3 linked regions of the Macaca mulatta genome follow. The protein of the gene in region 3 interacts with the protein of the main gene of each other region in a pairwise test. Links are inferred from orthologs where the notes say so. Each region holds a gene or a part of one and is shown on either strand. Other genes may lie near its edges. The genes, in order: NRM, ZDHHC22 and TRIM59.

Evidence for each region.
Region 1: the proteins of TRIM59 (region 3) and NRM interact in binary tests that used the Homo sapiens proteins (3 or more experiments, as listed by UniProt). The two-hybrid records come from large-scale screens. The link is inferred for Macaca mulatta from reciprocal best matches to the Homo sapiens genes TRIM59 and NRM.
Region 2: the proteins of TRIM59 (region 3) and ZDHHC22 interact in binary tests that used the Homo sapiens proteins (3 or more experiments, as listed by UniProt). The link is inferred for Macaca mulatta from reciprocal best matches to the Homo sapiens genes TRIM59 and ZDHHC22.

What each region holds. Positions count from the first base shown.
Region 1 is NC_133409.1:152,354,382-152,358,127, forward strand, and holds NRM (nurim), read left to right. Parts: upstream 1-1,440; coding exon 1,441-1,573; intron 1,574-2,165; coding exon 2,166-2,362; coding exon of another isoform or gene 2,363-2,368; exon of another isoform or gene 2,369-2,384; intron 2,385-2,926; coding exon of another isoform or gene 2,927-2,944; coding exon 2,945-3,121; intron 3,122-3,440; coding exon 3,441-3,722; downstream 3,723-3,746.
Region 2 is NC_133412.1:150,341,286-150,344,931, forward strand, and holds part of ZDHHC22 (palmitoyltransferase ZDHHC22), read right to left. Parts: intron 2,239-3,646; coding exon 1,973-2,238; 3' UTR 1-1,972. UniProt on the Homo sapiens protein: Palmitoyltransferase that could catalyze the addition of palmitate onto various protein substrates and be involved in a variety of cellular processes. Catalyzes the palmitoylation of KCNMA1, regulating localization of KCNMA1 to the plasma membrane.
Region 3 is NC_133407.1:63,617,069-63,620,814, forward strand, and holds the start of TRIM59 (tripartite motif-containing protein 59), read right to left. Parts: upstream 2,354-3,746; 5' UTR 2,267-2,353; intron 2,090-2,266; exon of another isoform or gene 2,024-2,089; intron 1,354-2,023; 5' UTR 1,281-1,353; intron 1-1,280. UniProt on the Homo sapiens protein: E3 ubiquitin ligase involved in different processes such as development and immune response. Serves as a negative regulator for innate immune signaling pathways by suppressing RLR-induced activation of IRF3/7 and NF-kappa-B via interaction with adapter ECSIT.

The sequences.
Region 1 (3,746 bases), on a different chromosome or scaffold from region 3:
GGTTTCACCATGTTTGTCAGGCTGGTCTCGAACCCCTGACCTTGTAATCCACCCGCCTAGGCCTCCCATAGTGCTGGAATTACAGGCGTGAGCCACTGCATCCAGCCTCCTTTTTTTTTTTTTTTTTTTTTGTTTGAGACAGAGTTTTACTCTGTCACCCAGGCTGGAGTCCAGTGGCGAGATCTCAGCTTATCACAACTCCCACCTCCCGGGTTCAAGCGATTCCAAAGTGCTGGGATTACAGGTGTAAGCCACTGCGTCTGGCCTCTTACACTTCCAATGAACCCCACAGCTTGTAGCACATTGCTTTGTGTGGTAAGTGTCTCTATTTGTGGTCCTAGCAGGAAATGAATAGCACAGTCAAATTAGGATAATTTGGGGAAGAGTTTAATAAAATGATAATTACAAAGAAGTAGGCAGGGTGTAGGGAAATCAGAAAGCATAGTGCAGTGCCTTAGTACCCACAGCTCTATTGTGATCACCTCCAAGCTCAAAAAGATGAGGGTGGAGCAGTCGTGTAAAGAGGACTTTCTCAATAAAAACTGTGACTTTCATTGATACCGTCCATTTGGGACAACTTCCTGAAGCAGAAAGCAGGGTGGAGACTGAATTCAAGGGAAAACATATGATGTCTGGTACAGCATACAACAGCATTCATTCAGAGGAGGGTGGGAGTACTGAGCCCAGGAGAGGGAGAAGGAATGTAAAGCCTGCGAGAGGCTGCTCAGCAGTTTTCTGGTCCCTTAGCCTACAGGATTAGCAGCTTCCTAACAGGCAATTATCTCTCTGGACCTGTTTATTCTATCTATAAGTTGATGGAATTAGTCTAATGATATCTAAGGTCCCTACTATGTGCACAGCTACTGCGACAAGGTCCTTAGCTGCATGATCTTTAATTCTGACAAAGGTTACTATCACAAACATTTTAACATTTTTACTCTCGTGGTTACAAATCAGCAATCTCTGGCACTATTACAACAAACCTTTCAGTATTTACAGAGAAGTTATCTGCCCTTCTTAGCAACTAGCCAATCAACAACTCAACTTTATAGTAAGTTACAGAATTTATTCTGTACAGTGTATTCTGTACAATGTATTCCATACATTAATGTATTTTGTGGTAAAATAGTAACTTTTAATTTTGGATGGTTAAACTAGACGAGCTGAGATTTAACCCACGTAAGCGGCTGCAGAGCCGCTACCCTTAACAGCTCTCTCTCGGGATTCTAACATTCCCTTCCGTGACGGAGAGACCGCAGGCTGGGACACGCATCCCGGGACGGATCCACAGCTGGGTGGGGAAGGCTGCGCCCGGCGGGCCGGAAGCCGGGCGGTGGCGTGCAGGAGCCCCGCCTTCCTGGGCTGGATTCGGGCGGGGGCGGGGCCTGAGGCAGCGGGAATCCCGACCCCGCCCCTTTCCCCACCCCTCCATTTCTCGCCATGGCCCCTGCACTGCTCCTGGTCCCTGCTGCCCTCGCCTCTTTCATCCTGGCCTTTGGTACCGGAGTGGAGTTCGTGCGCTTTACCTCCCTTCGGCCACTTCTTGGAGGGATCCCGGAGTCTGGTGGTCCGGGTGAGCGGGAGGGATCGGGGATGAACTGGGAGTAGGAAGGTGGAGCCGTAGGAGAGGGATCGAGGGCGGGGCTTGGAAACAAATGACAGGGGAAGTCCCAGAGAGGGAACTCGAATCTTGAAAGCGGCCGAGAAGCTACAGGGGAGGGAGACCTGAGTTCTAAATTAGGAACTCAAGGATTACAGTTTTGGAGAGGTGGGAGAGTGAGGACTGAGGGAGCCGAAAAGGGCGATAACCAGAGTATTCTAAGTAAAATGTTTTGTAGAGAGGGCTGTTGAGAGTGTTAAAAAGAAGGAGCATTTGGAGAACCGAAATAAGAGGGGCAATCCAGCGGTGGCCTCTCCAGCCATGCTTTTTGCAACTGCCTAACATGCGTTGTTCTATAAATCCTCTCCCCTAGGTTTGCAGGAGGCCTAGGGAAGAGGGCAGAAACTAGGAATGGAAAAGTGAGATGGGCACAGCCTAGAGAGGAAGCATTAAGGCTCTTGAAAGCAGTAGGGACATGGCCTGGGGCTCCAAAAGGAGATGAGGATGGGGGAAACATTTGCCACCTTTTCGATCTTTTGTCTCTTTCTCCCTCAACTTCCTGTAGATGCCCGCCAGGGATGGCTGGCTGCCCTGCAGGACCGCAGCATCCTTGCCCCCCTGGCATGGGATCTGGGACTCCTACTTCTATTTGTTGGGCAGCACAGCCTCATGGCAGCTGAAAGAGTGAAGGCATGGACATCCCGGTACTTTGGGGTCCTTCAGAGGTCACTGTATGTGGCCTGCACTGCCCTGGCCTTGCAGGTATGAGGCCCTGGCCTTGCAGGTATGAAGTCCCTAAGGGAGACCAAGTGTGGGAGGGGTGCCCTGGATTGGAGGGGCAAAATATGGGTTCAGGAGGAGAACTGAGGAACTAATCTCAGCTTCCATTCCTCCACAGCACATACCCTAGTTTTTATCAAGAAGGGTGTACTTGTCCTTCCCCAAGCACAATACGTGCATTCTCACCTTTGCAACTTTGTTCATGTCCTGCTTGAGATCCCTTCCTTCTCTTCAGTCCTACCCTTTCTTCAAAACCACTTCCCTAGGTCTGAAGAGGCCTTGTCTGTCTTCTCATTGGGTGGTTGGCATAGGCTACTACTTTGTGTAGCTATCAGGTCACCCCATCTGTTCTGTAAATTCTCAGGGTGGAGACAGGCCATCCTTACATCTTTGGGACCTCACCCAGCATGCACCCTCCACATGGTGAATATTTGGTGGTGATGCTTAGGTGAGAGGTGGGGGAGAGTTGCAGGCTAGCCTGTGGTGGGGGCAGCTCTGGATCCGGGTCTCCCAAGGTCGGGCAGGGTAGGGCACTGGGATACGAAGCCCCTTATCCTTCCACAGCTGGTGATGCGGTACTGGGAGCCCGTACCCCGAGGCCCCGTGTTGTGGGAAGCTCAGGCTGAGCCATGGGCCACCTGGGTGCCCCTCCTGTGCTTTGTGCTCCATGTCATCTCCTGGCTTCTCATCTTCAGCATCCTTCTCGTCTTTGACTATGCTGAGCTCATGGGCCTCAAACAGGTGAGGCTCTGAGATCCCTACCTACGACCTCTGACCCGTTTTAGAACTACTCTTTCCCTTTCAAGGGTTTCCCTCCTCCCATGCTCTTCTACTGTCTCCTTGATTCTCCCTCATGACCCTTCCCTCAGAAGGACAGCAACCATGGGCCTCCTGGGCCTGGGGAAGGTACATGGATCATAAGTCAGGATCAGGGATCCAAGTCTCAGAAGAGGGGTTCCTGGGCCTGAGTTCTAGAAGGCTGGTGCCTGGAAGAGGAGGAAAGAAGCGCCCAAGCTGAGAAAAGGGCTTGACTCAATTTCTAAACTCTTCTCCCTCTTAGGTATACTACCATGTGCTGGGGCTGGGCGAGCCTCTGGCCCTGAAGTCTCCCCGGGCTCTCAGACTTTTCTCTCACCTGCGCCACCCAGTGTGTGTGGAGCTGCTGACAGTGCTGTGGGTGGTGCCTACCCTGGGCATGGACCGTCTCCTCCTTGCTCTCCTCCTTACCCTCTACCTGGGCCTGGCTCATGGGCTTGATCAGCAAGACCTCCGCTACCTCCGGGCCCAACTACAAAGAAAACTCCACCTGCTCTCTCGGCCCCAGGATGGGGAGGCAGAGTGAGGAGCTCACTCTGGTTACAAGCGC
Region 2 (3,646 bases), on a different chromosome or scaffold from region 3:
AGTGCACAGACGGCCGTGACAAGGTGCCCCTGATGGCATGAATCTTGTCACCCTGTTCACCACTGCATTGCCAGTGCCTGGAAGAGGCTGGGAACGTAGTTGGCATTCAGTAAATATATGTAGGATGGATGAATGAATGAATGAATATGGGAGGGAGAAGTATGAGCAGGTCGAGTACTACATTAGCTGTCTAGGGGGCGTGAAGGCAGAACCACAGTAAAGTCCTCCCAGTCTCTGCTCAAGAACCCAGGGTGTTGTGCAGCTATCAGCAGATCCCTGTGGTCGGCGGTTGGGCATTGCAGGGCGTGGATTCAGCACTACTGCCTGCATGGATGTCATACTGGCTTTGGGACCCAGTCAGGAGGGGGCACTTGTGTTGTCCCTCCTCCCTTATATGCCCCAGGGGTCTGGTCCTCTGGGTTTCAGAAAACACACAGTAGTGCCTCCACTGGAGTCAGTCAGATGCGCAGGGATGGTCTGGGAATTGCACCCTTATATTCCGGTCATCTCCACTCCCCAGCCTTAACTCACCACTGCCCCCCATGCCCTGCCACTGACAATGACACGGCTCCATCTCCCTGTCCTCAAATGTCAGTCCCCGCAACCACCCAGGTAGCCCTGTCTCTGCATAGACTCTCTCTTCAGTGGCTGGGTTGGGTACTGATCTTCAGACCCCTCCCATGCCCACACTCCCCTCCAGGAAAGCAAATATCTCACAGGCATCTCCGCAGATCTTGCCTCTGGGTCCAGCAGTCACAACCAGGACACCAGAACCTTGGGGTTGGAAGGAATGTGTAAGCTCACCTAGAATGACCCTGTGCAGAAATCTCTTCCACAGCATGCCGGCAGACGATTGCCTAGACTCTGCTGGAATACCTCTAGTGATGGGGCACTCACTACCTTCACAGGCAGCCGTTCAAACACTGAAAAGTTTCAGCTGCTGGAATGCCCTTTGTATAGGGCATAAATGAACCCAATTGTCCCTCTCACTTCTCCCTTTCCCCTAGGCATTATTCCTATATGTTTCTAACAACACTTCTCACCACCATCCATCTCTCTCTCTCTCTCTCTCTCTCACACACACACACACACACACACACACACACACACACACACACACACACACACACAGAGTTCCATATGGTTATACAGTCGAATACCCCCTTCCTTTATCAGTAATTCTCTTTCCCTGTCCCTTCTTCCTTGCCTTCCCATCATCTGGCAAAGACCTGGGGGCTGGAGATCAAGTAGAAAGGCTGGAAGAGTTCCAGGGAGACGAAGCATCCAGCCAGGTCCTGGACTGGGCTGGGCTGGCCAGATGGGGCAGGATGGACAGGGAATAGCATTTGGAAAAAGCAGGCCATTGACTTCTGTCTCCCAGAGAAAGGGTCTTGAACCTGGAGGGTGGGGTGAGGGAGCAGCAAGCTACTGAGTTCTTTTTCCTACAGAGGGGATGCAGACACACACCCACTCTTTCCCAACTCCCCTAGCTGTTGGCAGAGCTGACTTGGCTGCCTCTTACACATGGTGATTTTAAACATTTGCCAGCCTCTAGGTCCCAGGGAGTTTCATACCAGCAGCAAGAATCCACTCCCCTCTCCCAACATGGAGGCTGAGAGGAAGGGCTCTAGCAGACAGCAGTGATGAATGAGACCTGGTGGAGAATGGATGAGCCAGGAAGAGGGGGAAAGCAGGGATCCCAAGGGGAAGGAACGAAAGCAGAGGCAGTCTAACGGCTAGCAGCCACCTGGCTGGCTCGTGAGGAGCCTAGAAATGCCTGGGGGGACGTTTTTCCTCCTTGTCATAATCCACCAGCCCACACTGTTCTCATGGGTGGAAGGCGGGGGGAAGATGCTAGGACCTTACCAGCACAAGGTTGTAGTGGGTCATGGGTGGAGACAAGGCTGCCATGGTTTTATGCTCAGGAGGAGTCAAGACAGAGAGAGAGAGAGATAAATGACGGGAGTGTCTGCTACTTATCCTGCTGCTTGGAGCTCTCACTTCCGACATTGAACATGGGGACCAGCAGGCCCAGCAGCCACCTCTTTCCGAAGACCTCTTGTAGGTTCTTGCGCCAGGGCCGGGCCCTCACTGCCACCCCCTTCCGCACCTGGTGGCGGGTCTGCCCGCGGAGGATCAACAGCAGCTGGTGGCAGCAGAAGCCAGCGCAGGCCAGGCCGATGGCGAACCAGAGGTAGAGCATGAGGATGACGAACATTTCAGAACCCAGGACAGCTCCTGCAGGGCAACGGGAGGGGAAACACCAGAGCCGCTTTACACCCAGGCCACCTGCAGAACTGTGATCTAGGCAGGCTTTCCACTGGGAGGGAGGGAGATTAATGAGATTGACACTACATTTTGTAGCAACCTCAGCGCTGCAGCTGCAGTGAGGGAGAGGAAGGAAGAACCAGCTGCCCTAACTTTTTCTTGGTGCAGATGGCACCTGAGGCAAGAGGGGAAAACTGGAGACCTGGCGAAAACAGCTAAGTTTGATGAGCTTAGCAAGGAGAGCCCTCAGCTCCTGGGGCAGCATCTGGCCGCTGATAACATTTCTGTAGAGTCGGAGATGCCTGTCTTTCTCTGTTTTCTCCTTTTGGGCTGGAAGCAGGGTGAAGGGGTTTTGCTCAGGAGGAGAGAGGGGTGAGCTGAGGACCCTAAAGAGGGAGCGGGTGTCTGGGCAGATGTCTAGACCGCAGCACCTTCTCTATACTGTCCTGGGAGCGCTAGTTGAGAGGACTCAGGAAAATGACAGCATGATGGAGAACTGGGAAGAATAAGTCATGAGCTTAGTCTCAAGAGCAGCCCAGAGCACCAACGTAGAGAATAATTCAGTCATTAATGTTAACAAGAGGACAGTGTGGCCACCACAGCATTCCACCAGAGCTGGTTCTGTCAATCAAATCTTGCTAAAAGAGGCCCCCAAGGTCATTGGCCCTGTGTCGTGGGGCAGGATCTCCCCAGAATCCCTCTAAACCAAGCACTTCCTCTTACTGGTTTGAAATAATCACTGAGTAACAGCTCCCACACTCTTCCTCAGAGTTTGGATGGCTGGTCCATGCTAGGTTTGAGTCTCCCAGCTGTGTGGACTTACACAAGTGTCCCAACCTCTCAGTTGAAGTTCACTCATCTGTACAATGGGTACAATAATACTAACGATTTCATTCAGCTGCATGATTCAAGAAAATGATGTACAGAGTGGTCAGCATCCCCGTTCACACTCACTGTGGTGCTCCCAGCAGAGGGTCATGTTTACAGAGCAGGAGACTACATCCAAAATGAGTTCAAGTTTAACTCCTGAAACTATCAAGCTTTCTCCTTCTCCTTTTCAGGGCTTAGAGTCCTGGCTGGGCTGCAACTTTGGCAGCTGTGGCAAAGACACTTACATTGATCTGCCCAGCAGCCAGGGCACTGGACCCTGGAGTTAATTCGAAAGTCCTCCTTAGCCCTTGGCTCCCTGTAGGGCAACCCTATCACCTCCTCTGGTGGGGTGGGGGTATCTCCTCTAAGGACTCCACCTTACAACCTATTCTGCCCCTGAAAATCTCAACCATATTTTGCCCTTTCCCTCGCCTTCTCTTGCCCCAGCCCACCTCTTCCCAAGTCTCTCCAGCCTCCAATTTCCAAAGTCCTGGGAACTGGTCTTTCA
Region 3 (3,746 bases):
GTCAAAACAAATACATTTCTGAATTTCCACACTTTTTATTAAGTCTTTCTCCAGAGGACCAATTCACTAGGGAGCCTCCCTGATGTCTAACTGGCATATTAGGTAATAGATAGTATAACAGATGATAAAATAGCACCAAAAATATCATTACCCATTCTCTTGTGTAAACCAGTTTTTAAGCTTTAATTCACTAATGCTTTCCTGCCTTTCAACTCTAAACATGAACAGTTGTAAAACATTCATTACATTTCACAGCCTCTGAAACGAAAATATTTTTACTACATTATAGAATTCGATGACTTGCCCCATGACTTCTAGTGAGTCAGCTTTAAGTATAGAAAAATTCAAGTGGTGCCACCACCCAAATTGGGGCTCACATCTTTGTGGCCCTAACTGATAAAGAAGAAATACATTTCATGCAATCGAAGACTTACTTAAGAAATAACTACAACTTCATCATTTATATACATATATAAGATTTTTTTTTTTTTAACACTGTTGCGGAAAGTTTGAGAAACAAGATTTTTAAAAATAATTCTGCCACATATAAATATACAAAAATAATGAGAGATCACCTTAACTTTTTCAAATTAAAAAAAAAATCCTATGGTCAGCTGATTTTAACTCTCTTTGTCCATCTGTACTATTTTATTTCATTTTGATATCAACCTGTTTTCCTAAACTAAAAAAATAAAAAAACTAAAAACAAAACAAAAAAAGACTTAATTCAATTTAACCAGGAACTGACTTGAGAAGTTAAGGCTTTAATTACTTTTGTTATACTTTTCAAAGTAAAAATATATCTGGTGGGAAATAGTCATCAACGTGTTTGGTGAAAGGCAATGTCAAAACTAACATTACCTAAAATCAAAATTTCACCTTGCCAGATTAAATAGCTACTTACTCATTTAAAAAGACCAATATATGAATGCATAGTGAAGAAGTATCCAGGTAACTTAATTTGCAGTTTTGTGTAGTTCTGCAGATCTGTATGTCTAAAATAACAGCTTTGCATGTGTTTTGAGATGTACACATTCTTGTAAAATTTCTAGAAGGATGTACGAAAGAGTTGAGTGACTACCTTTAAGGTACAGATCGGAAAAGGAAGCTGTTTTTCACTTTATGCTCCGCTCCTTCGGTAAGATGGTTGGAATTTGATACACCATCAACATAATGTTTTTTCAAAAGACTTCTAAATTTCACTTTATAGTTTAAATGATACACTCTGGAAAAACTCAGTTAAAATGTTTTTCATATTTACTTAATCTCCCAGAACTTACCTACTTTGTTGATCTCCTGGTTTGGGGACTGAATACACTCTCTCCAACTCCTCCAGAATCTTTTATTCTTATTCTAAAATTAAAATAATGTTATCCTTAATGCTTTCAATTTATTGTCTCATGTCATAAAAATGGTTGTTAGTTCACTGTCTTTGATGTTTATCTTCACTATGCTTCACTGTGTTTTCCAAAAAGTCACAAACACCAACACAGTTGCTGGAGCTGCAGTAGAGGTATCGCTTGTTCCTTGAAAATCCGAACTCTGACCAAACAGATGGTCACAAAGGACCTCTTTACAACGTCAAGTAGCTTATGAGCTCTCGACAATATGACCCACCAACGGCGATGGCAGAAAAAACATTCACGGTCATTTAGAGTGCTTAAAATTAACTGCAAGACAAAAGCATCCATGGGAGTAAAATACTTTGCCAGCTCAAAATTGTAACTGATTTAGTATAGTTTGCTCATCTCTCTGTTCTGCCATTTCAATGCTGTGGTACCTGAGTCAGTATTATCAAATATCTCTCAAAAGTGAGGCTTCACATCTGTAAAATGGGTAACTGCACCTATCCCACCTAAGTCCTACGAGCACCTCCCACAAAGGGGCTCAAAATGGCAGTACTCTTCCCCTCCCCCTCTGAAAGCTCCACTCTCCCAGGCCTCCCTCCTAAAGCGCCTCCGCCTCCGCAACCGCCCGACCCCAAGCCCCGCGGGGCTGACCGACTCGGCCTGGCCCAGCTCACCCTGGCCACCACAGAGCGCCTCCTCCCTCACAGGAACGCAGCTCCACAGTGGAGAGACGGGAGAATGGTTCCCCAAACTCCAGTGTGGGACAAGTGGGAATGAATGCAGGTCCCAAGCCACTCCCTCCATCGTCACGCCCCCAGGACTCCCCAGCAAACACACTGGAACACCAGCCTGTGCTACAGGAAAAGAAAAAGGACTCAGAGCCACCTTCTCGGATCCGTAAAGGTCCTTAGACTCACCGCGGGGAGGAGGCGGAGTAGGCGACTCCACAGCGCCGAAACAGAGAGCCACCGGCTCCTGGCTGATGCTGAGAGTCGCCCCGAGTCCCCGCCCTCCTCCGCCCCGAAGGGCTTCAGGTGCCCAGGCCGGGCGGGGCCGCCCGGAGCCTCGCGGCGCAGGCGCAGTCTGCAGGCAGCTTTCAACTGCGCGGCATCGGCCAATGGGAACTATTGCTGGGCTCGTTCGAAAGTAAACGGCGGACGGCGCGGCTCGAGGCAGGTGGCGGCGGTCAGATCGAGGCTGGCGCCTAGCTTTCCACGCCTGCGTGCTAGGCGCAGGCCGCCTCTCGGACGTTTGGCCTCGAAGGAGCGGCTCTCTAGCCTGTGGGGAGCTTCGGCCAGTGGGCTTCGTGAGCTGGGGTCCCGCCTGGGGCATCTGGATGGCACCGGTAGTCTGGGGGAGAGGCGGGGTCTGGCGCGGGAGGAGGCGAATCGCCGGCGGCCGACGGCTTCTGGGGAACTGTCTTTTACTTGGAGCCATCCAGGGCAGGGCCTGCTGCTATGCTGTGGAATGCAGTGTCTTCCATCGTTGCCACACAGACCCGCTGCTCCGGGAAGTCGCCACGCATCCTCAGGGCACACCCACACCTGTCGCCAGCGCCCTCCGCCGCTCAGCTGTTTGCTTTTGTTTACGCGTTCCGGAGACCTGACCCACCGGAGCACTGGGCTGAGCACAGGAGAAGGGGTTTTGGAACACTCTTTGTACCCAACTCCGAGAGCGAGTGGGAAACCCGGGACTGGGTTGGGTGCATCTCTCCCTAGCCTTCGTCGTCTTCTCCCGTTTTTCCACTTTACTAAAGTATTGCCTAGAGATGAGGGCTGTCCAACTCAGCACTTCCAACTTCAGGTTCCTACTTCACCTCTAACTCCCTAGAGTTAGAAAACAACTTACAGCTCAGAGGTCTCTTTCCCTTTTTTCTTGAGAAACTTTATTCAGCTTTATCTCAAGACATCTCCGCTTCCCTCTCCTGTCGACCTTAAATAGGTTCAGGAAATATGATTAAGGATAAGAGTTTATTCCAGCGTAAAGCTTGAGGGTAGCCACCCAGGAGACACCAGCTCCAAATGGGGTCAGCATTCCAAAGTGAAGAAGTTAAGGTTTCACCTAGGTGGCCAGAGACAAATTTTAGCAGGATTTCATTTTCCGTAAGAGACCAGTACATACTTACAGCTATTTGGTAGGTTACAGATTGCTACATTCCAAGAAAGAGTACTTCGTTACTCCGTGAGGACGGGTAGTGATCTCAGGGGGTTGTATCTCTGGTATGGTTTGCTCCTCCGATTTTAATTATTTACAGAAACAAAAGGCAGACGGTGCAGATGCCTGCTGCTTGGCTCAGGCTGTAGCCACATTCCTCTCAAGGCTCAGAATAAAGTTCCAACAGCTTTAAGTTTGAATTACTTAACTTCTGATAACTAAAGTCATTTTGTTTACTAATGT